Stegostoma tigrinum: one gene and its partners. The protein of the gene in region 4 interacts with the protein of the main gene of each other region in a biochemical or structural test. Links are inferred from orthologs where the notes say so. Each region holds a gene or a part of one and is shown on either strand. Other genes may lie near its edges.

The links.
Region 1: the proteins of E3 ubiquitin-protein ligase NEDD4-like (region 4) and protein TMEPAI-like form a complex in vitro, tested with the Homo sapiens proteins (2 studies listed by BioGRID, with this or other methods). The link is inferred for Stegostoma tigrinum from reciprocal best matches to the Homo sapiens genes NEDD4 and PMEPA1.
Region 2: the proteins of E3 ubiquitin-protein ligase NEDD4-like (region 4) and rnf7 form a complex in vitro, tested with the Homo sapiens proteins (2 studies listed by BioGRID, with this or other methods). The link is inferred for Stegostoma tigrinum from reciprocal best matches to the Homo sapiens genes NEDD4 and RNF7.
Region 3: the proteins of E3 ubiquitin-protein ligase NEDD4-like (region 4) and heterogeneous nuclear ribonucleoprotein U-like protein 1 form a complex in vitro, tested with the Homo sapiens proteins (2 studies listed by BioGRID, with this or other methods). The link is inferred for Stegostoma tigrinum from reciprocal best matches to the Homo sapiens genes NEDD4 and HNRNPUL1.

What each region holds. Positions count from the first base shown.
Region 1 is NC_081372.1:56,265,343-56,272,485, forward strand, and holds the start of protein TMEPAI-like, read right to left. Parts: upstream 3,019-7,143; 5' UTR 2,696-3,018; coding exon 2,593-2,695; intron 1-2,592. UniProt on the Homo sapiens protein: Functions as a negative regulator of TGF-beta signaling and thereby probably plays a role in cell proliferation, differentiation, apoptosis, motility, extracellular matrix production and immunosuppression.
Region 2 is NC_081367.1:74,096,288-74,103,284, forward strand, and holds the start of rnf7 (RING-box protein 2), read right to left. Parts: upstream 3,003-6,997; 5' UTR 2,958-3,002; coding exon 2,792-2,957; intron 1-2,791. UniProt on the Homo sapiens protein: Catalytic component of multiple cullin-5-RING E3 ubiquitin-protein ligase complexes (ECS complexes), which mediate the ubiquitination and subsequent proteasomal degradation of target proteins.
Region 3 is NC_081392.1:7,469,696-7,477,667, forward strand, and holds the start of heterogeneous nuclear ribonucleoprotein U-like protein 1, read right to left. Parts: upstream 3,021-7,972; 5' UTR 2,798-3,020; coding exon 2,587-2,797; intron 1-2,586.
Region 4 is NC_081386.1:15,733,310-15,740,654, forward strand, and holds the start of E3 ubiquitin-protein ligase NEDD4-like, read right to left. Parts: upstream 3,006-7,345; 5' UTR 2,913-3,005; coding exon 1,656-2,912; intron 1-1,655. UniProt on the Homo sapiens protein: E3 ubiquitin-protein ligase which accepts ubiquitin from an E2 ubiquitin-conjugating enzyme in the form of a thioester and then directly transfers the ubiquitin to targeted substrates. Specifically ubiquitinates 'Lys-63' in target proteins.

The DNA of each region.
Region 1 (7,143 bases), on a different chromosome or scaffold from region 4:
AAAAAATGCAAAAAAGAATAAACGTAATACGAAAAAAAAGCAATATCCTGTCTCAAAAGGCAAGATACCCGAAATCTGAGAAGAATGCTCAATCCTAACGGAATGGTTTAATAAGAGGGATGTGATTTGTTACACGTATGCACCTGGACAATTGATCATAAATTGACCAGACTTGGTGGGGGGGGGGGGGGGGGGGGGGGCGAGAAAAATCACCAGAATCTGAAATGGTTTTCAGGATTCACACTGTCATTGTTAGTCAGAACATTGATTAGAATATCAGCAACTGAAGGTGTCTTTAGCCACAGAAAGATGTGGAAGCAAATGTAATACCTCCACGCTAAAGTTAAATTACAGATTCCAACGGACAGATCCTGGAAGAGAGTTGAAGGAGTCACGCGTACCCTGTTTGCAACACAGGTGCCAAATTTAATAAAACAGACAAAACCTGTTAGACTGACACAGCAGGCAAGTGTAGTCCTGCACCCAAGTATTAACACCCCTTCATAAAATCAGCAAATGGGGCTGGCTGAAGGGCACACATCAGTTCAGTCACTACAATCTGCACTTTGCATTTTTCTAATCCTTGTGCGTAAAGATGTATGGTCATAGTTCATAACTAATGGATGACAAATGGAAAAGGAATACAATCCACACATATAGGGCCACATGGCAAACTAGGTAACATGTTTAAAAACGATCAAGAATAATTTTAATGGCTTATGTTGGTCCATGTCAAAAACAGTATCTGAAAGGCACATTTTAAAATAGGGAGAAAAATGCACAATATCTTAATCCGCAATTCTCAGAGGAACATCTGAAGTCTGACAGTTGGATTCCAATTTGAAAAATCTTGGCAGATGGAAAAAAATGATGTGCATGAGTCAGGATCCATTCATTGTGATAGTGACTGTTTAACAGAACTGGGTAAGGCTAACCCTGCAGCAACGCTACTTGGAGCGAAGTCCTCAAGCTAGTCTCTGCTGCGCCCCAACACCCAGCAACCTTGTACTGTGCCCCTTACATCACACAAAACGAGAACTGCAATTGTTTAAAACCACTGCAGCTAATCCACACAGAGCAACAGGGTATGTACAGTATTAGCTGTAATAAGCAGGCTGACTGAGACCTTAAAAAAATTTAGGACCCACATATGCAGGGTTAGGTGCATCATTCCCAAGCAACAGAACGCCATAACATCAGACGGAGGTGAAGAATGTACAGAGTCACTAAGCTACACTCCAACCCAAAATCAGCACAACAACGATTGTTTTAAAAGTTAAGAGTCGACAGAAGTCTGAAGTGAACCTCTGATCTTAGGCAACTATTGTTCAGTAACTAATATGTTGATGCTGAGGAAAAAACATTAAAAAGCATCCAAAAAAGGATTGACACACCGAAAGTCTCAAGTTGAGTGACCTTAATTATCCCAACATTGAAACAGTTTCTATGGAGGGCAACACTACCCATTCTAACCAAGATAAAATCCACCAGAGGACAACTCAATTTTATCCAAAGTTATTATTAAAATACCACAAAGTATGTTTTACAGGGCTCAGCAGCCCCAGTCGTCGTTCAGTGGGGTTAGATTTTAGACGAAGGGCTCTTTTCACCAGACGTTAAATTGTGCCTAAAAGACACAGAGGAAGATGGGCTGAGTTGTTCTGTTTAAGTTAGACCCCTTGGCACTTCATTGAATTCCAAGAAATTGTACAGCTTGTTGACAGAACGTTTGAAAAACACTAAATGAAGGGTTATCTGATGATACAGTAGGTCTGACTCTAATCAAGTGCAGAAAACACTGAAAGACCAAACATTCACACAGCTCAAAAGACGGAGAGCGAAAGAAATGAAACGGGCGGGGAAGCGAAAAAAAGGGTTTGGGCGAGACTCACGAAACTGAGCGACAATCTTGACAATGAGTCAGTCCAGGGCTAACTGACTAAAACGATTCTACACGAAACAAAACTCCAATAATTTTTAGAAAAAGAAAAGAAACCGAAAGAGGCTCAAAGCTTTCTAGAGGAGACAGGGCGTTCTTTTTTGTGGGGAGTAGGAAAGGAGACGCCTTTTTCTGAAAAAGTCAGGGTCTTGGCTGCTTTTCCTCCCCCGAACTTGGCCAAGAGACGGGGGTGGCGACGACGGGGGGGGGGGGGGGTGGTGCTGTTGAAGCACAGAGTAAGATTCCCAAAGTCGTCCCCATCGAAAACAAAAAAGAAAAAAAAACTGAGGGAAACAAGAGAGACGCACGAATAAAAGTCAAACAACTAGAGGCAGAAAAGACAACTTAATTTTTTTGAAGGGAAAAAAAATGAACACGCACGCACAGCACAAACTCTGACAGGAACGAAAACTCCAGGCAGTCTGAGGGCTCGAGAGACGCCGTCTTAATTAACAACACAGCCAGGCAGACAACTCACACTACCACCCCCCCCCCCCCTCATCAACTCCATCTCTTAAAGGGGGGGGGGGGGAAACAGTGAGACAATCTCTTCCTTAGTACAAAAGCCAGCATTTACTGGCTTTAGTTTTAAATGACCAACGAAAATAGAAGGGAACAGCATTTTTAATAAAAAGACTGTTTTGACTACTTACTGATCTCCATACTGTGGAACAAAGAGCGTTTGCAGTTGCATGTGCAGGAGACATTGGGCTGATTCGTTGCGGCTGTGCTGTTCAGACCCATCAAGTTGTACATTTAATATTTGAAAAGGGAAGGGGAAATAAATTAAAAAAAATTGGAAGCGGGGTTAAATAAAGGCAGCCAGGCGCCCCCCGGGGTTGGGAGAGGAGCCTTCGCTGACTTGAGTGTTGCTGGCTGGTACCTGGGTGAGGGCAGGGAGCTGGGTATCTGTCTCTCAGTTGTGAGAAACCATAATCAGGGGAGTGTTAGCCCGGCCGGTCCCCGTGGTTCTGTCTCTCTCTGCGCTCTGCCAGCTCCGGAATCACCAAGTGCTACTTTGTATCTGCTTCACACTCGATACACTCACACAATCAAGTAGCGCAGCCCGACACGCCGCAACCAAACCTCCGCCACTGTCAATCACCCAGCCCCGGACCCGCCCCCCCAACGGGCCGCCTGATGGACCACCTGCCCCGCCAATCGCCTCTCGGAATTCCCAAATCCCCATTCCCCCCCGGAACCTCTCGGCCAATGGAGCTGGTGGAAGCGCAGTCTGGGGCGGGACTTCTGGCACGCGGGTGCACCTCCATGACGTCACCGAGGCAGACAGGAGGCCCGCTTCTCCCTCGCCGGTCCGCCTTCCGCGATTGACAGGTGGAGACCAGCCAATTGGCATATCATTTCTCTGCTATTGGATGCACCCTGGAGAACCAATAGTGAGTCCATTTGTAGGCGGGGCTACTGGCGATGACGTCATGGCAGGGCGAGTTGTGGGCTGTAAGTGGCCGGCAAACTATTATCGACGTAGAAAGTGTCCAATAGAAACACAGTGTGGGTTAACACACATTTCCATTGGATAGTAGCGGAACAGAGGGCTGGCACAGCCGGAAACGCACACGTGGGTTAGGCAAAGCTCTGTTTGTTTGAAGTGAGAGCAGGAAGTGGGAGGAGGAAGAGAAAAAAAGACCTTGAAAAGTTTACCCAAAGTCTGTCAAATATATTTCATGCTCAAAAAATGTGGGTTACAAATACTGCGCGGCATTTTATACCCCCTTTTGACTAATCAATCAAGGAAAGGAAGCAGTGATAAAACAAGCTGGAAATAAATCAGTGCAAAGGGAGATACTGTGGATGTGGGATACCTGAAATAGTTTAATAACACAAAATGCTGGAAATACTCAGCAGATCCGACAGCCTCTGTGCAGGGATTTTGCTCTGGTCATTCGACAACCATGTTCTGACGACGCTCCACTTAATCTTCCCAGCGTTTTCTGTTTTGTGTTTCACATAAAAATTGATCGGGCTCAATATAATCTTGAAAATGCGGTCATTTTCCTAAGAATTGGCAAAGCCTGAAGTGTTTGCCGATGCTCAAAGAAGCAAACAGGCGTCGCAACGATTGCCACCTTTGTGCCTTGGTGAAATGAGCCATTTGTTTTTAATGAAAGGGAGAAAGCACTTAACTTTCTAAAGTTGTCGAGAGGGAGAGAGATTTTCTAACAGCTTAAACTGGTCAATAGAGGGGCTAACGTTGCTGAGAATTCAATACGGATTTGCAAGTCTGGGGGAGGGGAGGAGAGGGGAACCAAAGCAAAAGGGAAACAGGATGCAGTAACCTTGATTACATTTTTTTCCCCTTGCCCTTGGTAGACACACATCCCTCATTCCTCGCAAGGAATCCAAACAAAAAGAGAGACAGCGGTTGGGGGAGGGGGTGTCTGTGTATTCAGACAGACTTTACAAGGCAATCTGCTCTTGTAAAGCCTAACCTCACTTTGACCCGAAGTGATATAACCCTCTCCATCCCCGGCCCCGTCAGAAATCGCCCACTTCTTTCAGCCTCGTCCCATCAAATACGATGTTTTGGAGATGGAATTTGCGAATGTTATCGCGGCAAGTATAAAGATTAATTAATGCAAGTGGCGAAAAGAGAATGCAAATAGCAAAGCACGTTGCGAAGTTTCCAGCCTGCAGCAACCACCACCCCCCCCACCGCCGCCAACAACTCCCCGCAGACATCCAAGAGTCTCATTATCCTCAAGCTGCATGCAAATCCCATTATATAAACGCGATTTATCGGGCGTCAGATCCCCTCACAGCTCCCAAAGAACGTGTGGTGCGAGCGATCTGGAATTGCTGCTGGATGCGTTTAAAATCTTATCCTCCCCTCTCTTTGTCGGTGATTTTCCCCAGGCGGGGAGGCTGTAGGAGCGGGGGGGGGGGGGGGGGGTGGAGTGCAGCGCTTTGCCCTGTTCTTTGTGCCTGGCTGGTCACGGTTTGTCCGCCAACCAGCTGAAGGAAGCCTGTGGCTTTTCTCAGCGATTGTTGTCTGTATTTGCACTTGGACTTAATACCGTGTGTGTGTCTGCTACTGGAAGTGGATTAGAAAACAACACACACACAAAGGCAGACGCCAACCCTCCCTTTCCAAGAGCCCACTTCCCCTAAAAATGAACCGAAACGCGGGGTCGGCTCAGCCCGTTCATTTGGCACCTGATCTGTCCCAGACAGACAGACACATTCGCCGTTTTTGTTGCAGGTGTCCGTGTACTTTTAAGATTCGCCGCCACCATTGCCTCTTTAAAAGCCCAGACTGGAGGCTCCCCTGAAAATACACTGTTAGACAAGTAATCTTTCTCAATGGATGTGCAATGGCTGTGGGGTAGAACTTTCTTCTCTTTACACAATGAGTGGTAATGACCTGGAACCCTCGCCCAGGAGGGTGGCGGAGGCCGAGAAAATGATCGATTTCGGAGGAAATTGAATGGGGCAACTTGAAGGAAGTAAAGTTGTAGGGCTACACGGATAGAACGGAGAGGTGAGACTGAGAGAGCTAGCAGGGACTCGATGGGCTGAATGGTTGTCTTCTGTGCCGCAATGATTGTATATAACGCCGGGAAACCATTCATTTTTACCATCACCTTTATGACCTTTAGTAAAACCTGAATTCACTGACACGGCCGAATGATTGTATATAACTTTTTTGAAAGCCGGGACAGTCGTATTAGTTTACTTTCTTGTTCTTGGAATCAATATATTGAGGTTGTAGTGAATAGTAGAAATGTGTAGCCTCACCTGCCACTCAGTCGTTTTTCCAATGATTTTATGACTCCCCCTTATTGAAACACTCATCTGAAGGAATCTTGTCATCATTTTGAGCACGTCTATTGATTCACCTCTATACCTCAGTCTTCCACGGAGTCCCAAATTCGTTAAGCTCTCCCATCATCATGTTCCTCATCCCTTCATCTTTCAACTTGCTGGTCCTTTTGAAACCATTCCATTATAGAAGAGTCTCTTTCTAAATTGGTCCTCTCAAAGTCCATCGTTTCATACTTCTGCACATTGAACAGCATCTGCTGTATCTTGGTACACTGCTTGGAATCATAGAATAGATACCGCACAGGCCATTCAGCTCAGTGAGCTCTTGACAGCTCTCCGCAAGAGCAACATAGCACTTTTTTAAAAATTCACTCCTGGGATGTGGGTTTTGCCGGCTGGGCCAGCATTTAATGGCCCCTCCAATTTACCCTTGAGAATGTGTTAGTGAGCTGCCTTCTTGAACTGCTGCTGTCCATGTATTGTTCAGAGCCTCACAATGCCCTGAGGAGGGAAATGCAGGGTTTTGCCCTCGCCACACTGAGGGAATGGAGATACATTTTCAAGTCAGGATGGTCAGTGGCTTCAGGTGATGGTCTTCCCATGCATCTGCTACCCTTGCCGTTCAACTTGGAAATGGCTTTGGGTTTGGAAAGTGCTGTCTAAGGATCTTTGGCAAATTTCTGCAGTACATCTTGTAGACAGTACACACTGCTGTTACTGAGCATCAGTGGTGGAGAGAGTGGTTGTTTGTGGCTATGGTCCAATCCATTGGACTGCTTTGTCTTGGATGGTGTCAAGCTTCTTGAGTATTGTTGGGGCTGCACCCATCCAGGCATGTGGGGAATATTCCATCCCACTCCTAACTTCTGCTTTGTAGGTGATGGACATGCTTTAGGGAGTCAGGAGATGAGCTAGTCCCACTTTTCCTGGTTTCATTTTTGATGCTTGTCCGATTTTCCTTTGAAAGCTGTGACTGACAAGCCTCCTCTGCACTTTCAGAAAGTATATTCCAAATTCTAATCACTTGTTGTCTGAAAGGTCACCTTTCATTCTTGTGCCATTCGCCTTATATCAGTTGCCCTCCTCGAGTGCGAGTAGTTTCTCTCTAATGTGTCTGGACCTCCATTGATTTTGAGCGCCTCTATCAAATGTCCTTTCAATCTTCTTTTCTCTCAGATATACAACCTAAAATTCTATTAATCCATCTATGTAACTGAAAACCTTCGTCTCCGGAACCATTCTTGTGAATCTTTTCTGAACCCTCCATAAATCGTTATGTCTTTCCTGAAGTCTGGTGTCCAGTACTCCAGGCAGATATAATACTAGAGTTGATCCAGTGTTTTATAAATGCACATCATATCTTTTCTTCTTTTGTACCACCATCTTAATGCTTTTAAATACCCTTGTTTCTGCTTGTGCCT
Region 2 (6,997 bases), on a different chromosome or scaffold from region 4:
GGCGGGCGCGGGGAGGGGGGGGAATGGCTGGCCGGGGGGGCGGGGAGGGGAGGGGAGGGGAGGGGAGGGGAGGGGAGGGGAGGGGGGGGGGCGGGGACGGGAGGGGAGGGGAGGGGAGGGGGGGGGAGGGGAGGGGAGGGGAGGGGGGGGGCGGGGAGGGGAGGGGCGGGGAGGGGGGGGGGCCGGGGGGGCCGGGAGGGGGGGGGGGGGGTGGCTGGCCGGGGGGGGGGAATGGCTGGCCGGGGGGGGCGGGGAGGGGGGGGGGAATGGCTGGCCGGGGGGGGGGAATGGCTGGCCGGGGGGGCGGGGAGGGGGGGGGAATGGCTGGCCGGGGGGAATGGCTGGCCGGGGGGGCGGGGGGAATGGCTGGCCGGGGGGGCGGGGGGAATGGCTGGCCGGGGGGGCGGGGAGGGGGGGGGGGGAATGGCTGGCCGGGGGGGCGGGGGGAATGGCTGGCCGGGGGGGCGGGGGGGGGGGGGGGAATGGCTGGCCGGGGGGGCGGGGAGGGGGGGGGGGAATGGCTGGCCGGGGGGGCGGGGAGGGGGGGGGGGATGGCTGGCCGGGGGGGCGGGGAGGGGGGGGGGGGGAGATGGCTGGCCGGGGGGGCGGGGAGGGGGGGGGGGTGGCTGGCCGGGGGGTGGGGGGGGAATGGCTGGCCGGGGGGGGGGGGGGGGGGGGGGCGGGGCAGGGGGAATGGCTGGCCGGGGGGGGGCAGGGGGGGGAATGGCTGGCCGGGGGGGAATGGCTGGCCGGGGGGGGCGGGGAGAATGGCTGGCCGGGGGGGGGGGGCGGGGAGAATGGCTGGCCGGGGGGGGGGGGAGAATGGCTGGCCGGGGGGGCGGGGAGGGAGAATGGCTGGCCGGGGGGGCGGGGAATGGCTGGCCGGGGGGGCGGGGAGGAATGGCTGGCCGGGGGGGCGTGGAGGGGGGGAGGAATGGCTGGCCGGGGGGGGCGTGGAGGGGGGGGGGGAATGGCTGCCGGGGGGGCGAAAGGGGAAGAGTATGGCGAGGAGGGTGGGTGGAGGGGGGCACGGCGAGGGTGCCGGGTGAAGGGGGGCACGGCGAGGGGGGCGGGTGAAGGGGGGCGGGTGAAGGGGGGGCGGGTGAAGGGGGGCACGGCGAGGGGGGGGCGGGTGAAGGGGGGGGGTGAAGGGGGGCGGGTGAAGGGGGGCGGGCGAGGGAGGGGGGCGGGCGAGGGGGGGGGGCGGGCGAAGGGGGGGGCGGGCGAAGGGGGGGGGCGGGCGAAGGGGGGGGGCGGGCGAAGGGGGGGGGCGGGCGAAGGGGGGGGGCGGGCGAAGGGGGGGGCGGGCGAAGGGGGGGGCGGGTGAAGGGGGGGGCGGGTGAAGGGGGGCACGGCGAGGGGGGCGGGTGAAGGGGGGCACGGCGACGGGGGCGGGTGAAGGGGGCGGGTGGAAGGGGGCACGGCGAGGGGAGGTGAAGGGGGCACGGCGAGGGGGGGGTGAAGGGGGGGCACGGCGAGGGGGGGGTGAAGGGGGGGCACGGCGAGGGGTGGGTGAAGGGGGGGCACGGCGAGGGGTGGGTGAAGGGGGGCACGGCGTGGGGTGGGTGAAGGGGGGCACGGCGTGGGGTGGGTGAAGGGGGGCATGGCGTGGGGTGGGTGAAGGGGGGCACGGCGTGGGGTGGGTGAAGGGGGCACGGCGTGGGGTGGGTGAAGGGGGCACGGCGAGGGGTGGGTGAAGGGGGCACGGCGAGGGGTGGGTGAAGGGGGCACGGCGAGGGGTGGGTGAAGGGGGCACGGCGAGGGGTGGGTGAAGGGGGCACGGCGAGGGGGGGTGAAGGGGGGCACGGCGAGGGGGGGTGAAGGGGGGCACGGCGAGGGGGGGTGAAGGGGGGGTGCGAAGGGAGCACGGCGAGGGGGTTGTATTGGGGGTGGGGGGGGTGAGGGTGGGTGTAGGGGGGGTGAGGGTGGGTGTAGGGGGGGTGAGGGTGGGTGTAGGGGTGGGTGTAGGGGGGGGTGAGGGTGGGTGTAGGGGGGGTGGGGGGGGTTAGGGGGGGTGTAGGAGGGCGAGGGGGGGTTGAGGGGGGGCGAGGGGGGGTTGAGGGGGGGCACGGCGAGGGGCCGGTGAAGTGGGGCGAGGGGCGGGTGAAGTGGGGCGAGGGGCGGGCGAAGGGGGGCGAGGGGCGGGCGAGGGGGGGCTGAGGGGGGGCACGGCGAGGGGCCGGTGAAGTGGGGCGAGGGGCGGGTGAAGTGGGGCGAGGGGCGGGCGAAGGGGGGCGAGGGGCGGGCGAGGGGGGGCGAGGGGCGGGCGAGGGGCGGGCTCGGGGGGGCCTCGGGGGGGCCTCGGGGGGGCGTGGGGGGGGGCTCGGGGGGGCGTGGGGGGGGGCTCGGGGGGGCGTGGGCTCGGGGGGGCGTGGGGGGGGGGCTCGGGGGGGGGCTCGGGGGGGCGTGGGGGGGGGGTCGGGGGGGGGGGGGTCGGGGGGGGGGGCTCGGGGTGGGGGGGGCTCGGGGTGGGGGGGGCTCGGGGGGGGCGTGGGGCGTGGGGGGGGCGTGGGGCGTGGGGGGGGGGGGCGTGGGGCGTGGGGGGGGGGGGCGTGGGGCGTGGGGGGGGGCGTGGGGCGTGGGGGGGGGGCGTGGGGCGTGGGGGGGTGGGGCGTGGGGGGGGGGCTCGGTCCCTGTCCCCATCACACTGTCCTCCTGGGACTGAGAGGCCGGTGGGCACAGCCAGGCAAACCAGTGCCTCCCACCCCCGCCATTCCCAGACAGTCAGACCGCCTCGGGCAGTACCCGAGGCCCCTGTCCTGGTCCCCGGGGCCTGGGCCTTGCCGCTTACCCATCACCTGGACCCTGCAGATGGCGCAGGTATCACACTCCACATCCCAGCTCCACATCGCCACCGCGTTCCACTTCTTCAGGGTGAACATCTTGTCCCCGGATCGACCTCCTCCCGCTGCCACATTGGGAACCAAGGAGGAATCTTCCAGCTCTTCGTCCGCCATCACTGACGCCGCAACCCCTCCTCCCGGCCGCTAGGGGCGCCGCAATTCCGCTTCCTGGCCGCTCGGGCTCCGCAACTCCTCCTCCCGGCCGCTAGGAGCGCCGCAAGTCCTCCTCCCGGCCGCTAGGGGCGCCGCAATTCCGCTTCCTGGCCGCTCGGGCTCCGCAACTCCTCCTCCCGGCCGCTAGGGGCGCCACAACCCCTCCTCCAGTCCTCTGGGGGAGTTTGGTGGAACGGCTCCTCAGTAAGTACTACAGAGTCACCTAGCGGCGGGAGAGTGAAATAGACACAATTCTCTGCCAATGTGGTATACTGCATCCACTGTACCCAGTGTGGCTTCCTCTACATTGGGGAAACAAAGCGGAGGCTTGGGGACTACTTTGCAGTAGTCCCAACTCCGCTCAGTTCGCAACAAACAACTGCACCTCCCAGTCGCAAACCATTTCCACTCCCCCTCCCATTCTCTAGATGACATGTCCATCATGGGCCTCCTGCACTGCCACAATGATGCCACCCGAAGGTTGCAGGAACAGCAACTCATATTCCGCTTGGGAACCCTGCAGCCCAATGGTATCAATGTGGACTTCACCAGCTTCAAAATCTCCCCTTCCCCTACTGCATCCCAAAACTAGCCCAGTTTGTCCCCTCCCCCCACTGCACCACACAACCAGCCCAGCTCTTCCCCTCCACCCACTGCATCCCAAAACCAGTCCAACCTGTCTCCGCCTCCCTAACCTGTTCTTCCTCTCACCCCAAGCCGCACCCCCATCTACCTACTAACCTCATCCCACCTCCTTGACCTGTCTGTCTTCCCTGGACTGACCTATCCCCTCCCTACGTCCCCACCTATGCTCTCCTCTCCACCTATCTTCTTCTCTCTCCATCTTCGGTCCGCCTCCCCCTCTCTCCCTATTTATTCCAGAACCCTCACCCCATCCCCCTCTCTGATGAAGAGTCTAGGCGCGAAATGTCAGCTTTTGTACTCCTGCTGTGTTCATCCAGCCTCACATTTTATTATCCACAATTCCTCCCGAATTGGGAAGATTCAGGGGTAATGGGAACTGCAGATGCTGGAGAATCCAAGATAATAAAATGTGAAGCTGGATGAACACAGCAGACCAAGCAGCATCACAGGAGCACAAAAGCTGACATTTCGGGCCTAGATCCTTCATCAGAGAGGGGGATGGGGTGAGGGTTCTGAAATAAATAGGGAGAGAGGGGGAGGCGGACCGAAGATGGAGAGAAAAGAAGATAGGTGGAGAGGAGAGTATAGGTGGGGAGGTAGGGAGGGGATAGGTCAGTCCAGGGAAGACGGACAGGTCAAGGAGGTGGGATGAGGTTAGTAGGTAGGAGATGGAGGTGCGGCTTGAGGTGGGAGGAAGGGATGGGTGAGAGGAAGAACAGGTTAGGGAGGCGGAGACAGGTTGGACTGGTTTTGGGATGCAGTGGGTGGAGGGGAAGAGCTGGGCTGGTTGTGTGGTGCAGTGGGGGGAGGGGACGAACTGGGCTGGTTTTGGGATGCGGTGAGGGAAGGGGAGACCCTGAAGCTGGTGAAGTCCACATTGATACCATATGGCTGCAGGGTCCCCAAGCGGAATATGAGTTGCTGTTCCTGCAACCTTCGGGTGGCGTCATTGTGGCACTGCAGAAGGCCTATGATGGACAAGTCGTTTAAGGAATGGGAGGGTGAGTTAAAATGGTTCACGACTGCGAGGTGCAGTTGTTTATTGCGAACCGAGTGGAGGTGTTCTGCAAAGTGGTCCCCAAGCCTCCGCTTGGTTTCCCTGATGTAGAGGAAGCCACACTGGGTACAGTGGATACAGTATACCACATTGGCAGATGTGCAGGTTAACATCTGCTTGATATGGAAGGTCTTCTTGGGGCCTGGGATAGGGGTGAGGGAGGAGGTGTGGGGACAAGTGTAGCATTTCCTGCAGTTGCAGGGGAAAGTGCCGGGAATGGTGGGGCTGGAGGGGAGTGTGGAGGGGACAAGTTTACTGTCACTGAACAGTAAAGAAGAAGGTGGAAATGGTGATGCAGTCCATGTTCTAATACAAGATCTGGACAATTTTCAGGTTTCAGCTACATGCCAAAGAAGTTAATCCGAGTGTTCCCTGACAGGAAACCATGGATGAACTAGGAGATCCACTCCCTCCTGAAGCCCAGGTCTGAGCTGTTCAAGTTGAGTGACTCTGAGCTATACAGGAAATCTACAATCTTCATCACAAAGCCATCAGGGACGCAAAGAGACAATACTACATTAGACTGGGGCACGGGGTCTCAGTGCTTAGCACTGCTGCCTCGCAGTGCCAGGGATGCGGGTTTGATTCCACCCTTGGGCGACTGTCTGTGTGGAGTTTACTCATTCTCCCCGTGTCTGCATGGGTTTCCTCCGGGTGCTCCAGTTTCCTCCCACAGTCCAAACATGTGCAGGCTAGGTGGATTCGTCATGCTAAATTGAGCACAGTGTTCCAAGGATGTTTAGACGTGTTCAGTTATAGGGGATATTTGATTATATCAGATGCTCTGATAGTCAGTGTGGACATGTTGGGCTGAAGGGCCTGTTTTCACACTGTAGGGAATCTATGATGACACTGTGATCATTCCCAGACTGATCACACGTTATACTGGGCTACAAAGCAAATTCAAATAGGATCACTGACAACAATGCACTCATCTCCAGTGCGCTCAGTGAACTGTATGCTGGTTTTGAATGGAAAGTCGGTGAAATAATGTTGAAAGCCTTGGATTCACCTGTACGCGCAGTTACTGCTGCAGATGTCAGATTGGCCTTCTTGAGGGTGAACCCATGCAAAGCGACTGGCCTGAATGGTTTTGGCACAGACCAGCTGGTGGGATTATTTGCTGATATATTTAACCTCTCCTCACTACAATCTGAAGTCTTCACCTGCTTCACAAACACCATATCATCCCAGTGCCAAAGAAGGGTCAGGCAATGTACCTCAATGCCTACTGCCCCGAGGTTCTGACATTTCATCATTATGAAGTGCTACAAAGAGGTTAGGTATGGCTCACACCAGTTCCCGCCTTCCAGATTGACTCGACCCACTAAAAGTCACTGAGTGGCACGACAGGTCCACAAGAGACGCTATGTCCCCAACCTTACACTCATCCCTGGAACACCTGGATAACAAGGACACCTATGTCAGACTCCTGTTTACTGACTTTAGGTACGCCTTCAGCTCCATAAGTCCAGTGATGCTCATCTCCAAACTCAAGTCCTAGGTCTTGGCTCCCCACTCTGCAACTGGGTCCTCAGCTTCCTGACCGATAGACTGCAGTCAGTATGGATAAGTGAGAACATCTCCTCTACCACAATCCTCAATACGGGTGCCCTACAAAGCTGTGTACACAGCCCTTTACTACTTATACACTCATGACAGTGTGGCTAAATTCAGCTCTAACTCCATTTACAGATTTGCTGATAACACCACCGTAGTGGCTCGGCTCTCAAACAGCGACGAGGCAGAGTACAGGAAAGAGAATGAGAGTTTAGCCGTATGGTATAAAGACAGCAATCTCCCATCAACATCAGCAAAATGCAGGAGCTGGCCGTCTTCAGGAAGTGAAGAAGAGGACCCGCCCCCGTCTGTGTCTGTGGAATTGAGGTAGAGATGGTTGAAGGCATCAAGTTCCTGGGAGTGACCATCACCAACAATTTGTCCTGGTCTACCCACATTGATGTTGCAGCCAGGAAATCACAGCACTGCCACTACTCCCTCAGGAGGCTAAGGAAATTCAGCATGTCCACAATAACTCTTACCAATTTTTATAGATGCACCCTGGAAAACATCCTCTGTCCATAACCACAGAAATTACAGAGAGTTATGGATTTGATTCAGTCCATCACGAAAATCAGCCTTCCTTCTATTGACTCTGAAGACAGCCAACATCATCAAAGATCCCTCCCACTCTGGGTATACTCTCCCACTCTCTTCTATCAGGCAGAAGATACAAAAGCTTGAAAACACTTACCAACAGATTCAGGAACAGCTTCTTCCCTGCTGTTATCAGTCTTAT
Region 3 (7,972 bases), on a different chromosome or scaffold from region 4:
CAAGCACAAGGACATTGCTTGGCTGGCGGTGAGAGGGGCTCTGCCAGTGAAATCCTTTATGCATGTCCGGAATCTCTGCGCCACCGCACGCTGCCCTTGAGGTGGCTGCGGGGGGGAACGAGACTGTTGATCACCTCCTTCTGGAGAGTGCCTATGCGCAGGAGGTCTGGAGGGGGATGCATTGGTATTTGTCGAGGTTCGTCCCGAGCAGGTCCGTGACGTGGGACTCTGTACTCTACGGGCTGTTTCCCAGGACGCACACCGAGACCAACATCAACTGCGCCTGGAGGACCATCAATGCGGTGAAAGACACTCTTTGGTCTGCCCGCAACTTGCTGGTCTGCCAGCTGAAAGAACTGACCCCGAGCGAATGTTGCAGACTGGCGCACTCCAAGGTCCAGGACTACGTGCTGAGGGACGTGCTAAAGCTTGGGGCAGCCGCCGCCAAGGCGCGGTGGGGAAAGACCACAGTATGAAACCCCTCATCCAGAATAGAAAAAAGGGCCCTATCTGGTAACTGGACCCAGCTGGTGCCTTCCACAACTGGTCAGGGAGCCAACTGGGACTGTGCGGGGTGACGGCTGCCGGGGTATTTTCTTTGCTTTTTTTTTCTTTGTTTGTTTTTTTTCCTTTAGTTGGTGTACGTACCCCCTGGGTAACCCGGAGCGACTTGCATGACTGGGTAGGTGTATAAATGTTTTATTTTTTGTACATCTTATGAATAAAGTATATTTTTTCAAATAAAAAAAAGTAACGAAACGTCTGAAAACTAACCTTCCAGCACAGCGAGCAAACTCACATCCAGAACCTCAGAGATAATGGGAACTGCAGATGCTGGAGAATTCCAAGATAATAAAATGTGAGGCTGGATGAACACAGCAGGCCAAGCAGCATCTCAGGAGCACAAAAGCTGACGTTTCGGGCCTAGACCCTTCATCAGAGAGGGGGATGGGGAGAGGGAACTGGAATAAATAGGGAGAGAGGGGGAGGCGGACCGAAGATGGAGAGTAAAGAAGATAGGTGGGGAGGTAGGGAGGGGATAGGTCAGTCCAGGGAAGACGGACAGGTCAAAGAGGTGGGATGAGGTTAGTAGGTAGCTGGGGGTGCGGCTTGGGGTGGGAGGAAGGGATGGGTGAGAGGAAGAACCGGTTAGGGAGGCAGAGACAGGTTGGACTGGTTTTGGGATGCAGTGGGTGGGGGGGAAGAGCTGGGCTGGTTGTGTGGTGCAGTGGGGGGAGGGGACGAATTGAACCGGTGCGGCTTCCTCTACATTGGGGAAACCAAGCAGAGGCTTGGGGACCGCTTTGCAGAACACCTCCGCTCAGTTCGCAACAAACAACTGCACCTCCCAGTCGCAAACCATTTCCACTCCCCCTCCCATTCTCTTGATGACATGTCCATCATGGGCCTCCTGCACTGCCACAATGATGCCACCCGAAGGTTGCAGGAACAGCAACTCATATTCCGCCTGGGAACCCTGCAGCCATATAGTATCAATGTGGACTTCACCAGTTTCAAAATCTCCCCTTCCCCTACTGCATCCCTAAACCAGCCCAGTTCGTCCCCGCCCCCCACTGCACCACACAACCAGCCCAGCTCTTACCCTCCACCCACTGCATCCCAAAACCAGTCCAACCTGTCTCTGCCTCCCTAACCGGTTCTTCCTCTCACCCATCCCTTCCTCCCACCCCAAGCCGCACCCCCAGCTACCTACTAACCTCATCCCACCTCCTTGACCTGTCCGTCTTCCCTGGACTGACCTATCCCCTCCCTACCTCCCCACCTATACTCTCTCCACCTATCTTCTTTACTCTCCATCTTCGGTCCGCCTCCCCCTCTCTCCCTATTTATTCCAGTTCCCTCTCCCCATCCCCCTCTCTGATGAAGGGTCTAGGCCCGAAACGTCAGCTTTTGTGCTCCTGAGATGCTGCTTGGCCTGCTGTGTTCATCCAGCCTCACATTTTATTATCCAGAACCTCAACCTGAGCTACAAATGTTCTCAAAACTCGCTACAGAGATTCTAGTTATGGTTCATATCAAATTCTCTTTCAAGGCCAACTATGGAATCTGTTTCCAGCACATGTCAGGCTACTAGAAGGGGGGAAACAGCCGTTCTGCCGTGCTTCTTAAGACTCTGTAAATAAGCTCAGAATCAAATGCAGTCTACTAAAAGCTAAAATGGGGCATAAGTCTTTCCAGGAAATCAAACAACTAGATGATTCCTCTTGAAAACACAAAGACTTCCATCCAGAAATAACTGCAGATTCACTGGAGTCGAAACTCAGAACTGCTTTCTCTCCACAGACGCTGAATCTCTCCAGCAACTTCTGCTTCAGACCTTCAGCACCCGCAGTTCTTTGTTTTATTTTAACTGCAGATTCTATTGCATTATGGGTTGAGAGCCAACAGTCGAGTAATTTAAAAGGGGGAGGAAATAGATGAGATCAGCGACCGAATGCAACGAGAATATCTCACTCCAGTCGTCCCCTCCCTCCCCATTTCAAGGTGAGTCCGTGGGCGGGATCCGCGCCTGCGCACAGCCGGCTTACCTGCCGGAAGCTCCGCGCATGCACGCCTAGGCCTCACCTGCCCGCGCTCTCTCCGCCTCCTCCTGTCGCTGCCGTTCGGCAGTGGCGGCGGCTTTGGCTGCTTCTTGTTCTTCGTCAGCGGCACGGTCCAGAGCTGCCTGCAGCCGCTCCTGCAGATCCGCCTTGAGGCCCTTTGTGTCAAGGCCGCGTCTGTGCAGCTCCTCCTTGAGCTCGTTCACTTTTAGTTTCCGCACGTCCAGCGAACTCATTCCCGTTTATTTAAATTAAAACTATTTTCTCAATTTCTTTTAAAAATGCCCCACCACCAACCAAAAAAGCGGCTTAGTAATGTGGGAGGCCACGTGAAGGAAAAAATATAATAAGTGCACTGCTCCAACCGATTGGCAAAAGGTAAAAAAAAGGACACTTTGGATTCTATAAAGAAAATTCCTCTCTCTTGCCGCGGCGTCTGACGAAACAAAATGGCCGCCGTCTCCCTGCACCCACTTTGGTGGCGCCAGGCGCAGCCAAACCCACTTTTCTCTCCGCGCTCCTCATTGGTCATCAGCTGCTCACAATGCGCCTGCTGTTACCAAATCGCCAATCAGGAGCCGTCTCGCAGCCGGCCTGCCCCTTGCTTCCGCTGCTGCTTTGAGTCACCGCTTCTCATTGGCCTAGCTTCCCCGCAGCTTGAAAGGGGAGTCAAATTTGGAGGCCCTGGTGTGCGTATGGGCGGGTTGGCCAATAAAATTCGGCCTTAGAGGAGAGTAGGCTCTGTGCCCAAAGGCCCAATCAACATCCGGAGTCCAAGTTCCAACTTCTATCCGCTACTACCATAGGACAACAGCGTTCCCGATTATCTCGAAAGCTGAATGGGCTGTTCAAATGTCAATCAAAACCATTCGGCTACACCAAAGGAAAAGGATATTTTTCAATAGGGATGAAAGTGAAGTCCCAAGAGATGTAAAAAAACTCTTCACTTTTGTTAAAGAGGTACATCTAATAAAGGAACTTTTTAAAAAATCCATAACTAAAATTTTACAAGTAAATAATATTAAAATGGGGGATAATTGAACAGTAGTGATGTCACTAAACCAATAAACCACAGGTATTTACAATGACTCAAGGATCATGCCACTCCTGGATCCGGGGGAACTTGGATTCTATTAATTAATAAACCTGAAATAAAATGGTCAATTCACAATAATAATGGTGAAACTACCAGATTGTCCTAAAGCCTCATCTGATTCACTAATGCTCCTTAGAGTCATACAGCACAGTACTAGACCCTTCAGTGTATCTTGTCTATGCTAACCAAGTTCCCCAAATGAAACTAGTCCCATTTGCCTGCATTTGCGCCAACCCTTTCCTATTCATGTACCTGTCCAAATGTCTTTTAAATATTGTAGCTGCACCTGCATCTACCATTCCCTCTGCAGGTCATTCCTCATATGAACCATTGTGTGTGTGAAATATTTGCCCCTCAGGTCACTGACATATTTCCCCTTTCAAATAAGCCATCTAGGGAAAAGACCTTGCTATTCACCTTATCTATAACCCTCACGATTTTATAATCCTCGATAAGGTCACACCACAACCTCCTATACTCCAGTGAAAAGCATCCCAACCTATCCAGACTCCCTATAACTCAAACCTTCCAGTCCCTGTAACATCCTTGAAAATCTATTCTGCACTCTCTCCTACCTATTAATATCCTTCCTATAGCAGGGTGACCAGAACTGTGAACAGTACTCAAAGTGGCCTCTTCAACAATCTGCATTCAAAGCTCTGATCAACAAAGATAGTCTGGGAAGGCAATCTGCTGTCCTTGCTTAGCCTGGCCAACATGTGATTTTGGATGGCTCTCAAATACCCTCTGAAAAAATCTAGCAAGCAACCATCATTCAAAATTACCACCAAAAGCTGAATAACAACAGATCACCCAGCATTAGCCTTCACACTGGAAACAATAAGAAACAGCCTCCCAAGTGAATGCCTCTCATTATCTGGGAGAACTGTGCCACAGACTTGTCACAGATGAGCGATCAGAGTCCAGTCCTTCTGGGGCCGAATTCCTGTCTTCACACTGGGATATCCTCCATTGTATTGTATGCTACTGACACTTGAAAACTGGAATTAATTCAGGGCGGCTTTAGTAGCTCAAAAGTTGGTCATCTCAGAGACATTCTGAGCCATCAGCTGTAGCAGACTTTCATTCAACAATCTGTAACCGCATGGCCCATATATCCCTCACTCTACCATTGCCGTCAAGCCGCAAGACCAACTCTACTTTAAAAAGGATCATAGAAAAATAAAACAGAAGCACCAACAGTCAAAACAGGGTGCCAAGTTGGTGAAGCCACTACACAGGACTAACATGCAAACAGCAAGTACAGAACAATATAGGCAGAGCCAAGTCACGCCACAACCAATGGGCCAGATTGAAGCTCTGCAGCCATGCCACATTCAGACATGATGTTGGTGCTCAATTAAATAACTGGAGGAGGACGCTGTAAAAATGTCCTCGTTCTCAATATCAGTGGACCCCAGTATGTCAGTGTGAAAAAAACAAGGCTAGAATGTTTACAACTATCCCCAGGCAGAGTGCTGAGTGGATGATGCATCCCACCCTTTCCCTGAGTTATCCAGCATCGCACATAGTAAACTTCAATTTTTTTTCACTCAGTGATAAATGAGTAATATACAGCATACAATGATAATATTTCCAACAAAGGCCCTGTAGCTAGAATATTTGTGCTCTAGAACTATTTGCGTCTCTTGCCAAACTGTTCTAGCACAGCTCTGACACCTACCAAACAATGTGGAAAATTGTCTAGGTAGGTTGTGTCACAAAAAGCATAGAACATTACAGCACAGTACAGGCCCTACGGCTCTCGAAGTTGTGCCGACCTGTCATACCGATCTCAAGCCCATCTAACCTACACTATTCCATGTACGTCCATATGCTTATCCAATGACGACTTAAATGTACCTAAAGTTGGCGAATCTACTACCGTTGCAGGCAAAGCGTTCCATTCCCTTACTACTCTCTGAGTAAAGAAACTACCTCTGACATCTGTCCTATATCTTTCACCCCTCAATTTAAAGCTATGCCCCCTTGTGCTCGCCTAGGAAAAAGGCTCTCCCTATCCACCCTATCTAACCCTCTGAATATTTTATATGTTTCAATTAAGTCACCTCTCAACCTTCTTCTCTCTAATGAAAACAGCCTCAAGTCCATCAGCCTTTCCTCATAAGACCTTCCCTCCATACCAGGCAACATCCTAGTAAATCTCCTCTGCACCCTTTCCAAAGCTTCCACATCCTTCTTATAATGTGGTGACCAGAACTGTACACAATACTCCAAGTGCGGCCGCACCAGAGTTTTGTACAGCTTCACCATAACCTCTTGGTTCCGGAACTCGATCCCTCTATTAATAAAAGCTAAAACACTGTATGCCTTCTTAACAGCCCTGTCAACCTGGGTGGCAACTTTCAAGGATCTGTGTACATGGACACCGAGATCTCTCTGCTCATCTACACTACTAAGAATCTTACCATTAGCCCAGTACTTTGCCTTCCGGTTACTCCTACCAAAGTGCATCACCTCACACTTGTCTGCATTAAACTCCATTTGCCACCTCTCAGCCCAGCTCTGCAGCTTATCTATGTCTCTCTGCAACCTACAGCATCCTTCGTCACTATCCACAACTCCACCGACCCTGGTGTCGTCTGCAAATTTACTAACCCATCCTTCTATGTCCTCATCCAGGTCATTTATAAAAATGACGAACAGCAGTGGACCCAACACTGACCCTTGCGGTACACCACTAGTAACTGGTCTCCAGGATGAACATTTCCCATCAACCACCACCCTCTGTCTTCTTTCAGAAAGCCAATTTCCCATCCAAACTGCTATATCTCCTACAATTCCATTCCTCCGCATTTTGTACAATAGCCTATTGTGGGGAACCTTATCGAACGCCTTGCTGAAATCCATATACACCACATCAACCGGTTTACTCTCATCTACCTGTTTGGTCACCTTCTCAAAGAACTAAATCCGATCCATCCACTTTCTGCTATATCAGTCTACTCTCAGTCAGCAATCCTGTGACATCCAGCAGCACTTGATCAGGAACAATCCACTCACTTACACAATTTAGATTCTGCGCTAGCCACTCAGTTCCAGATCTCATTGCAACCTTGATTTAACTATCAAAAAAGAAATGAGGTGAACAATTGGAATAGGGGAAATTTATCCACTCATTGGAGTCATACCTAATACAAAGAAAAATTGGCTAGGGTTGCTGGAGGCAATGATCTCCATTCCAGGACATCACTGTTAGAGTTCCTCAGAATAATAAAGTTCCAGGCCAAACCAGCTTCACTTGTTTCAATGACCCCTACCTTCAATGTAAGGTCAGAAGTGGGTATGTTTGGTAATGATCGCATTTTTCATACCATTCACAATTCCTCAGATACCGAAGCACAAGGCAAGAGATCAACAACATTCAGTCTTAGGCTGATGTGTGACACAAATGACACTTGCCCACTTAAGTAGCCGGTAATCATCATATCATTCTCCAACAAAAATAGTATCAAACCTTCTCCCTCTAACATTGAATAGCATTGAGTACTGAATCCCTACTGTCAACATCCTAGATTTACCATCAGCCAGAAAACACATTTGAACCAGCCATGTAAACACTATGGCTACAAGAACAGGTCAGAGGCTGAATAATCTCTTTTACCCCCAACCCCTCCCCCGAAGCACAGGGTAGCTAGGCATCCAATTTTAAATTAGATTATCTGATCTGGCCATTGCTTGGTACCAGGTATAGAGTCATAGAGAGATACAGCATGGAAACTGACCCCTTGGTCCAAGTTGTCCTTGTGAACCAGAGATCTTACAATAATCCAGTCCCATTTGCTAGCATTTGGCACATATCCCTCTAAACCCTTCCTATTGATGTGCCATCCAGATGCCTTTTAAATGTTGTAACTGTGCCAGCCTCCACCACTTCATCTGGCAACTCATTCCATACATGCACCACGCTCTGCATGAAAAAGTTGCCCCTTAGATTCCTTTTAAAACTTTCCCCTCTCACCTTAAGCCTAGTTCTGGACTCCCATACCCCAGGGAAAAGACCTTGGCTACTCACCCTATCCAGACCGTTCATGATTTTATAAACCGCTATAAGGTCATCCCTTAGTCTCCAACACTCCAGGGAAAATAGCCTCAGCCTATTCAGCCTCTCCCTATCATTCAAACACTTCAATTCTCGCAACATCCTTGTAAATATTTTCTGAACTCTTTGAAGTTTCACAACAACCTTCCTGTAGCAGGGAAACCAGAATCAAATGTAGCATTCCAAAAGTGGCCTAACCAATGTCCTGTACAACCACAAGACCTCCCAACTCCTATACTCAATGCACTGACC
Region 4 (7,345 bases):
AATCTTTCTGCATGGATTTAGAAAAGTTCCCTTTAACAAGCTGTTAATTATAGATAGTGGGATATCTGACACCTTGTTGCTGAAGTCCAGTGCCCAAGTGAAAGAGGAACATGTGGACCTTTCACGTCTGCAAGCACAACAGAACTCAACCATGGTCTGATCCAATTTCATGTCTGCTGTGTACAGATGGCTGCAGTGACCACCACTACTCTAATATCAGGTTGTTATATTTGAACTCAGACCTTCCATAACAGTATTCCAGGCCAGACTATCTGGAGTCTGATGAAATATTCTTGGCGCAATATATTTAAATCAGGTTTACACTCTGCTATGTTTAGGCAACCAAGCTTTGATTCAGTTTATAAAACAAATGGATAACTTAGCTGTCTGTGTATTTCAACAATCCGAATAATTCCTTTCCAACTGCAGTCAACACATGCGCACTCATTGCATCAATGTGGAAATTAAAGTGGAGAATTAAAATAAATCTAAACACATTTAACTAGCTAATACAGTTACCATCTGGAAATACAGACTCGCTTTTACACAAAACACAACCATGTGTAACTGACTTTTACTTCTACTTCAATTCTAACAATTTTGAGTAACGTAAGTAACACATTTTAAATAAAATTGAGCTTCACGAGGTTAGGAGCAGACACCTGAGGCACACAAAGGGAAATCATTTGTTAATCTTACAGCTATTTTAAACCACAGGAAACAAATTTGGATGCCCAAAGCTAACTAGGAAAGGATACCCCTTTCTAACTTAAAAACCAAGGGAAATTTACAATGTGACATTAAGCATTTTTTGCAGTTTCAAGTGCAATTATGGCCCAAATCAAAAAGATTGATAGGTGATGTTCTTAGCTGAAGTATATTATTAATGTTACAAAGATTTAGCCAATCTGCTTTCAAGTAAATTAATCTGCAAGTGGCAAAATCTGAACATTTTAAATTCACGTGTTTTACTGGATAAATAACTTCTCATCCAAAAATGTAATTTATTAGCAGTAAAACATGTGATACTTGATTTCAAATTTTATGAATTATGTCAATAACAACCTCTGACAGATTGTACAGATCAAGTGAGCAAAATTGTTTTGCATGCAAGTGCTTGCCTAGAACACTTACTTTTGTAGAGATGTCTACCTAAACTGAATCACTTTCACTACAGGAAACCAGTAAAAACATTGAACACAGAAGTTAAAAAAGACAAGAAAATTTCCTCAGCATTAACAACCGCCTATAAATGGTGCTCTTTGGCCAGAAAACAAATTTCATATTGAGAATATCTATAGAATATACAACACGTTTCACATATTCTTTAGACTCAGTCCATAGCTACAGATCTGAGCAGTATCACTAAATAGATCAGTAAATCATTAAAATTGTCTGTAATTAGAAACTCAAGTGTAAATCAACACTAGGGCACAGCTGTCTGCAATCATCACTGGCAAATTTTGAAACAATTAAAAATGCTAGAAAATTTAATTTTAGGACTTCCTACATTTTCTAGCACAGCAATCACCCTGTTTAACAAAACTATCACTAAATTCTACAGACACTGCCCACAATTTGTACTAAAAGTGGGAGTAAAATAGATAAGCTGATTTTTAATTTGAAGCCTTTGAGGCAGGGGAGAATTAGCTTACCTTGCACTTTCGTCCCCAAACAGCTCCAGTCATTTCCTCCTCAGAACTGAACGTCTTTTGCTCTGATCTAGGAGCTACGTGGATTTGTAAATGAGGGATCCCAACCCTTGAACAACAATGTTTAGGTTTTGAATGATAACTGGAAACCAGCTGACAGGGAACTTCAAGTGAATGGCTCCTTTGAAAGATCGGACGCTTGTTTTGTTCATTTATAATTTCCCTTTCTACCACACCATTAATATTAAGTTGGCAGTCTGAATGTTTGAACGAAGGTAAACATACAGAGGTGCTCCTTATTAACTTAATAGGATGATGCGCATGTCCAGTATTTAAAGAGCTCTGCTTAAACTCCTTCACAAATGATTCAGGGTGAATTTGTCCTTCCTTGGGCTCTGTTCCAAATACATGAGCTCTTTGGTAGTTGAAATGCAGAACGTGATTTGAAGGTCTGTGCGGTTTCTTCACTTTTCCCCAATACTCTGCTTCTTCCTCGCCGTAATCTATTGCTCGATTTTTGCCAGGTTGCTGTCCGTTACAATGAAGCGACTTAATGTCTCTAACTTCCGAAGAAGGACAAACTGGGTTAGACAAACGCAGCCCATTAACTGCTGTTGCAACAAAACATGTGCTTGCTTCTTTGGATTTAGACACAGCCTGATCTTCATCTTGCTTTGGTTCATGAGGGCAAGGAAGAAATCTGTTTAATGTGGGATTGCTACTTGCACTTGTAAATGGATCTGGGCTTGTTGGTGTAGCTGGCGGAGTACTACACGGACTCTGAGGAAATATCACCAATGATGAACAACGCCTCAATGGAACCTTCGGTTTTCTCAACTTCACTGATGCTTTGGTGGACTCCATCGCACGTTCTAAAAGCTCTTGGTCAAAAGAAATACCGGCATTGCACAAACCACCCTCTCTGCCATTGCAACGAGTACTAGATTCACACTGTCCTCTGGATTGTTTGGACTGCAGTGATATTTGCAAGGTAGAGCTCTTTTTGCGGTGATGATCACTGTTGCTGACCTGTGGTATAAACAATGAAGAACTGCGCTGTAGGATACGTTCATCCTGTGCTACTGTCTGCGCTGCCACAGGTTCAAGTGCAGTCACTTGGTGAACATTCTTTCTCACATGTACTGGTACAGTCTCAACTGTCATACAAATGTTACTCTCCAAGCCTTCTCCCGAAGTTTCAGACAGTGGGTCAGTGTTGCTCCTCCTGGTTGCAAAATGCAGTCGCAAACGACGGGCCATTCTTCCCTTTTGAAATACAACAAATGTGGTCCTAGGTTGGAATGAATCTGAGCTAGTTAAAAACTCACATTCTGCAGAGAACACTTAAAGCAATCATAGCAAGCACTGCCACTTGCGATACGGTCACCATCAGGAGCTGTAGATAAGCAGAAATAGCTGAAGTGACAAGCAGCATTCCAGTCATTACTGCACTATGGCTATTAAGCCTGGGAAGTTAGAAATGTCCAGCAGCAAAAATCATAATTGCAGGAATACCTCCCGCAATTCTGAATAGCCATGAATGTCTCTTAACGGTGAGAAATGAAGGCAGACTCTCTTCCACAGCACTGAAAACTCAGCAACCTTTACAAGAAGCTCAGCTGCTGCACACTGTTTGAATTCTGGCCAACCTTGCTTCAATTAAATCTCCTTTACTTCCATGAGTGACTGAATCCAACCCAAAATCAACATCTTCTTGCATTTCGGTTTCATATATTACATCTCGTCCCCAGCAAGCAAGCTAAATATGTGGCACTGCTTTAGGCACTGGAGCTTCAAATGTTTCTCCTACACTGAACCAACACCGTATTTTTACCTCATAGTATTGCATTACAGGAAATTTTAAAGAGCAACATCCAGCATAATTCAGAATCAAAAGGTTTTCTGAGTATTACCCACAATGTTAAACCTCCAGGATATGGGAAATAGACAGGAAGCTACTGCTAATAACTGCAAGAGCACTCCGCAGTTTTGCATTTACAATTGAATACAATTTGCCTTCATCAGTTCCTCAATGTGATAAAGATTGGCTTTTTTTTTGCAGATAGTAGTTCTGAACTCACGCTCTCAGTTCGGCTTTAGCTGAACACATTGAAATCCAACCATCTAAAAGAGGCAACGATTTAAAAGAAGCAAATCCTTGTTTAAAAAGAAACAAAAACAGAACTATTATTAGACTCCCACTGGACTGAAATCCTGCTGGTACCGGGCTGCTAGCGCTTGTTAAGACTGTTCAGTGTGGCTAAGTAGGAAAAACCTCTCTCTTCATACACAGAAATGCCACATTCTGACATTTGAAACTCATGACCGTGCCAAAGGAGTTACATTCTTTTCTTCCTGTGGCTTTCCGATCAGATGTACAGATTCAAAAGCACTGAATATAATTAATTTTTACAAGAAAGCATTTTTCAAATACTTTCTCCTTCGTCTTGTAACCATGTAAAAAAGGTACAATCTTAACACATCAGAAATTGTTCCTCGATGTGGGAGTTTTGCACCAATATCTAGGACTATGACACTGCATACACTTTACAAGAGAGAGAAAATTTCCTTTGAGTGAAGTCACAAAAGATTTTAAGTTCCAAGCCTTGTAAGACAAAGTTGTTTGACATTTTAATGTGTGGAGCCATGACACAACATGACTAGCCACTTCACACATTCCAGGTAAAACCTGAACATAATACTTTATTAACTCACCACTCAACAGTTTGCAAGTTGCTATGCAGGAATAGTGGCTCATTCAGCAGGACTGATGAAATAAAATGTGCAACATTTTTCTACAAATCAAACAGCAAGTGTTTAATAACTGTATGATGGCCATCTTAATGCCCTTAGGGATAAAAGTGGCTGCACAATGGAAAAATGTACTGCTTATAATCAAAAGCTGTAACAACTGCCCCATTTTCTGTTGGCATTTTAACAGATGCCTTTTACAAAAATTTTCTACCACTGCACAGAAGTGAGAAAGTTATTCTGAACTGCAATTAAAAGTAAAAATGGCCCTTTGAGCATTTCAATTTGCACTTAGTCAAAAAACAAACAAAATAGCTAACTTAACTAAACAGCTTGCACTAGGGGCATAGGTAGTTTCTTTGTACAGAATAACTGCTTGGTCAAACTCCTTTTTTTTTAATAGCAAGAACATTTCTATAAAAAAATGCATCTGGATAGAACAATGCTCTCTTTGTAGAAAAAAAAATCTGTATCATGCTTTTCAAGTCCAAGACTTTTTTTCCGCTAAATAAAGTTCCAGACAGCCAGATGCATAGGAATTTTTGCTACAGACCAGCTCAGCTTTTTCAACATTGCACTGAACTGGAATATTCACAGCCATTCCACTGTATCACTCTTCATTCTGCATTCTGTATTACTAATAACAACCTATGCCTCTTCACATGCTAGAATGTCTGCTTTGAAAAAAAATACCAAGCTTCTCATATGGGGAACAAAAACTTAAACCCTGTTAAATACCATCATTTTGAAAGCACACACCTGAACAACAGTAATATAATATCAATAGAAATTCTAGAAATGGACAAACGTCAACGGTAAAAGAATTGTACGCACAGAACATGCTTATGGACTGGAGTTTCTGTGAATTGACTCAACTCAAAAACAATTTTATGAGACTTGTCCTTCCAACAATATACGTACGGGGTCGTAGCTAGACAGACCACAGAATCCAGTCTCCAAGAGAAAGTGCTTATTGTCTAACTGAACACAGTACAAGGTGGGCTGACGGGAAAAAGAAGCAAATGGCGAGCAGTTATTCCAGAGCTCTGGGTGAGTCGGGAGAGGGACTAGCAATGTTAATGAAATGCCCTGAAAAAGTGTGGCTGCTTGAGGAGTGCTGATGTGAGCACAGGTATTGGGATCTGCAGCTTACGGCACTCCAAAAATGTGACAGGATGGTGGAGACAAATCCAATAGCGGTTCGCAAAAAGAAATTGCATACATTTTTTGAAGAGAAGTGATTACAGGGTTTCAGGGGAAAAGTTTGGAAGTGGAATGAACTGGATTGCTCCTCATAAGGACTGGCATAGAAGTGATAGGTCAAATGGCCTCCTTCTTTATTGCATTAGTCTATGACTGCACAGGAGGAAAGTTAAAACTTACAAAAAACGTCATCGCAGCACATTGGAGAATCAGCTCTGTTGTCAAGCTGAGCAATGCATGGCAATGTCAATTTGTGGACTGCCTGCAGTGTTTCCCACTGTGAGGAAACCAAGTGGATGCAGGACACATCCTCACAGGATGTCAAGGAAGACTCAAGGGTAAGTCTCCAGCCAAATTCTGCACCCTACTTAGCAATGTGTCACAGGCCTGGTATAGGACGACAGCATCCTTGTTATCTCAGGAAATGAACAGCCAATGGACACCACACTCAGAAAACATATTTAATGAATTTTCATTGCTTACTTAAAAAAAATACACTGTACTAAGCCATACACTGCAATGGCATGCATTTTCTTTAGGCCAAGTGCCATGACTCAAGCTTGGAGTAAAATGACTGAGAGGCATGATAGTAATGCACTCAGGTTGTAATCCGTGCCCAGGCTTATAGGTTCAAATCCCACCTTGGAAGAAGAAATCTGAATTTAACAACATATTGAATTAAGAATTAATCTAATGGAAACCATGTAACCATTCTTGGTTGTTGTAAAAAGCCATCTGGTTCACCAATGTCCTTTAGGAAAGGTAATCAGCTGTTTCACCCAGTCTGGCCTACATGTGGTTCCAGACCCACAACAACGAGGTTCATTCTTCAATGCCCTCAAAGCAGCTAAACCCCAGAGATGAAGTCACATGACTATCCTAGATGTCAAGGTAGCATTTGGCCAAGTGTGACACCAAAGAACGCTCATAAACCTGAAGTCATTGGGAATTGGGAAAATACACTTCACTCGTAGAGTCATACCTAGCACAAAAGGAAAATGGTTGTGGTTGTTGGAGGTCAATCACCTCGGCTCAAGTATATCACTGCAGGAGTTCTGTAAGGTAGTGTCCTAGGCCTAAACATCTTCAGCTTCCTCATCAATGACTCTCCGTCATAAGATTAGAGGTAGTGGTTTATGATTCTTCAGATACTGAAATATTTTGAATAAAAATTGAAAGGACTACAGATGCTTTAAATCACCTTAGTTCTGAGGATGGGTCATTTGGCTCGAAACATTTAACTCTGATTTCTCTCCACAGATGCTGCCAGACTTGCTGAGCTTTTCCAGCCATCTCTATTTTTGTTACTGAAACATTCTGGATCCATATGCAGCAACATCCAGGCTTTGACTAATACATGGCAACTGATATTTATGCCACAGAAGCATCAGTCAATAATCATCGCTATCAAGAGAAAATCTAATCATTGCCCCCTAACATTCAATGGTTTATCATTACTGAATACCCCACAATCAACCTCCTGTTGATTACCAATAACCAGGAACTGAACTGGAATAGTCATATAGAGAGTGTGGCTACTAAAGCAGGTCAGGGGCCACGTAAATACTGTGACTATAAGAGAAAGTTAGAGGATAGTTAATAGTGAGTAACAGACAGCCTCCAACCCCAGCACCTGTCCACAATCCACCAGCACATGTGAGATGAAATACTCTCCACTTGCTTGGATCAGTGCAACTCCAACACTACTAAAGAAACCGTGCATCACCTTCAACCTTCAC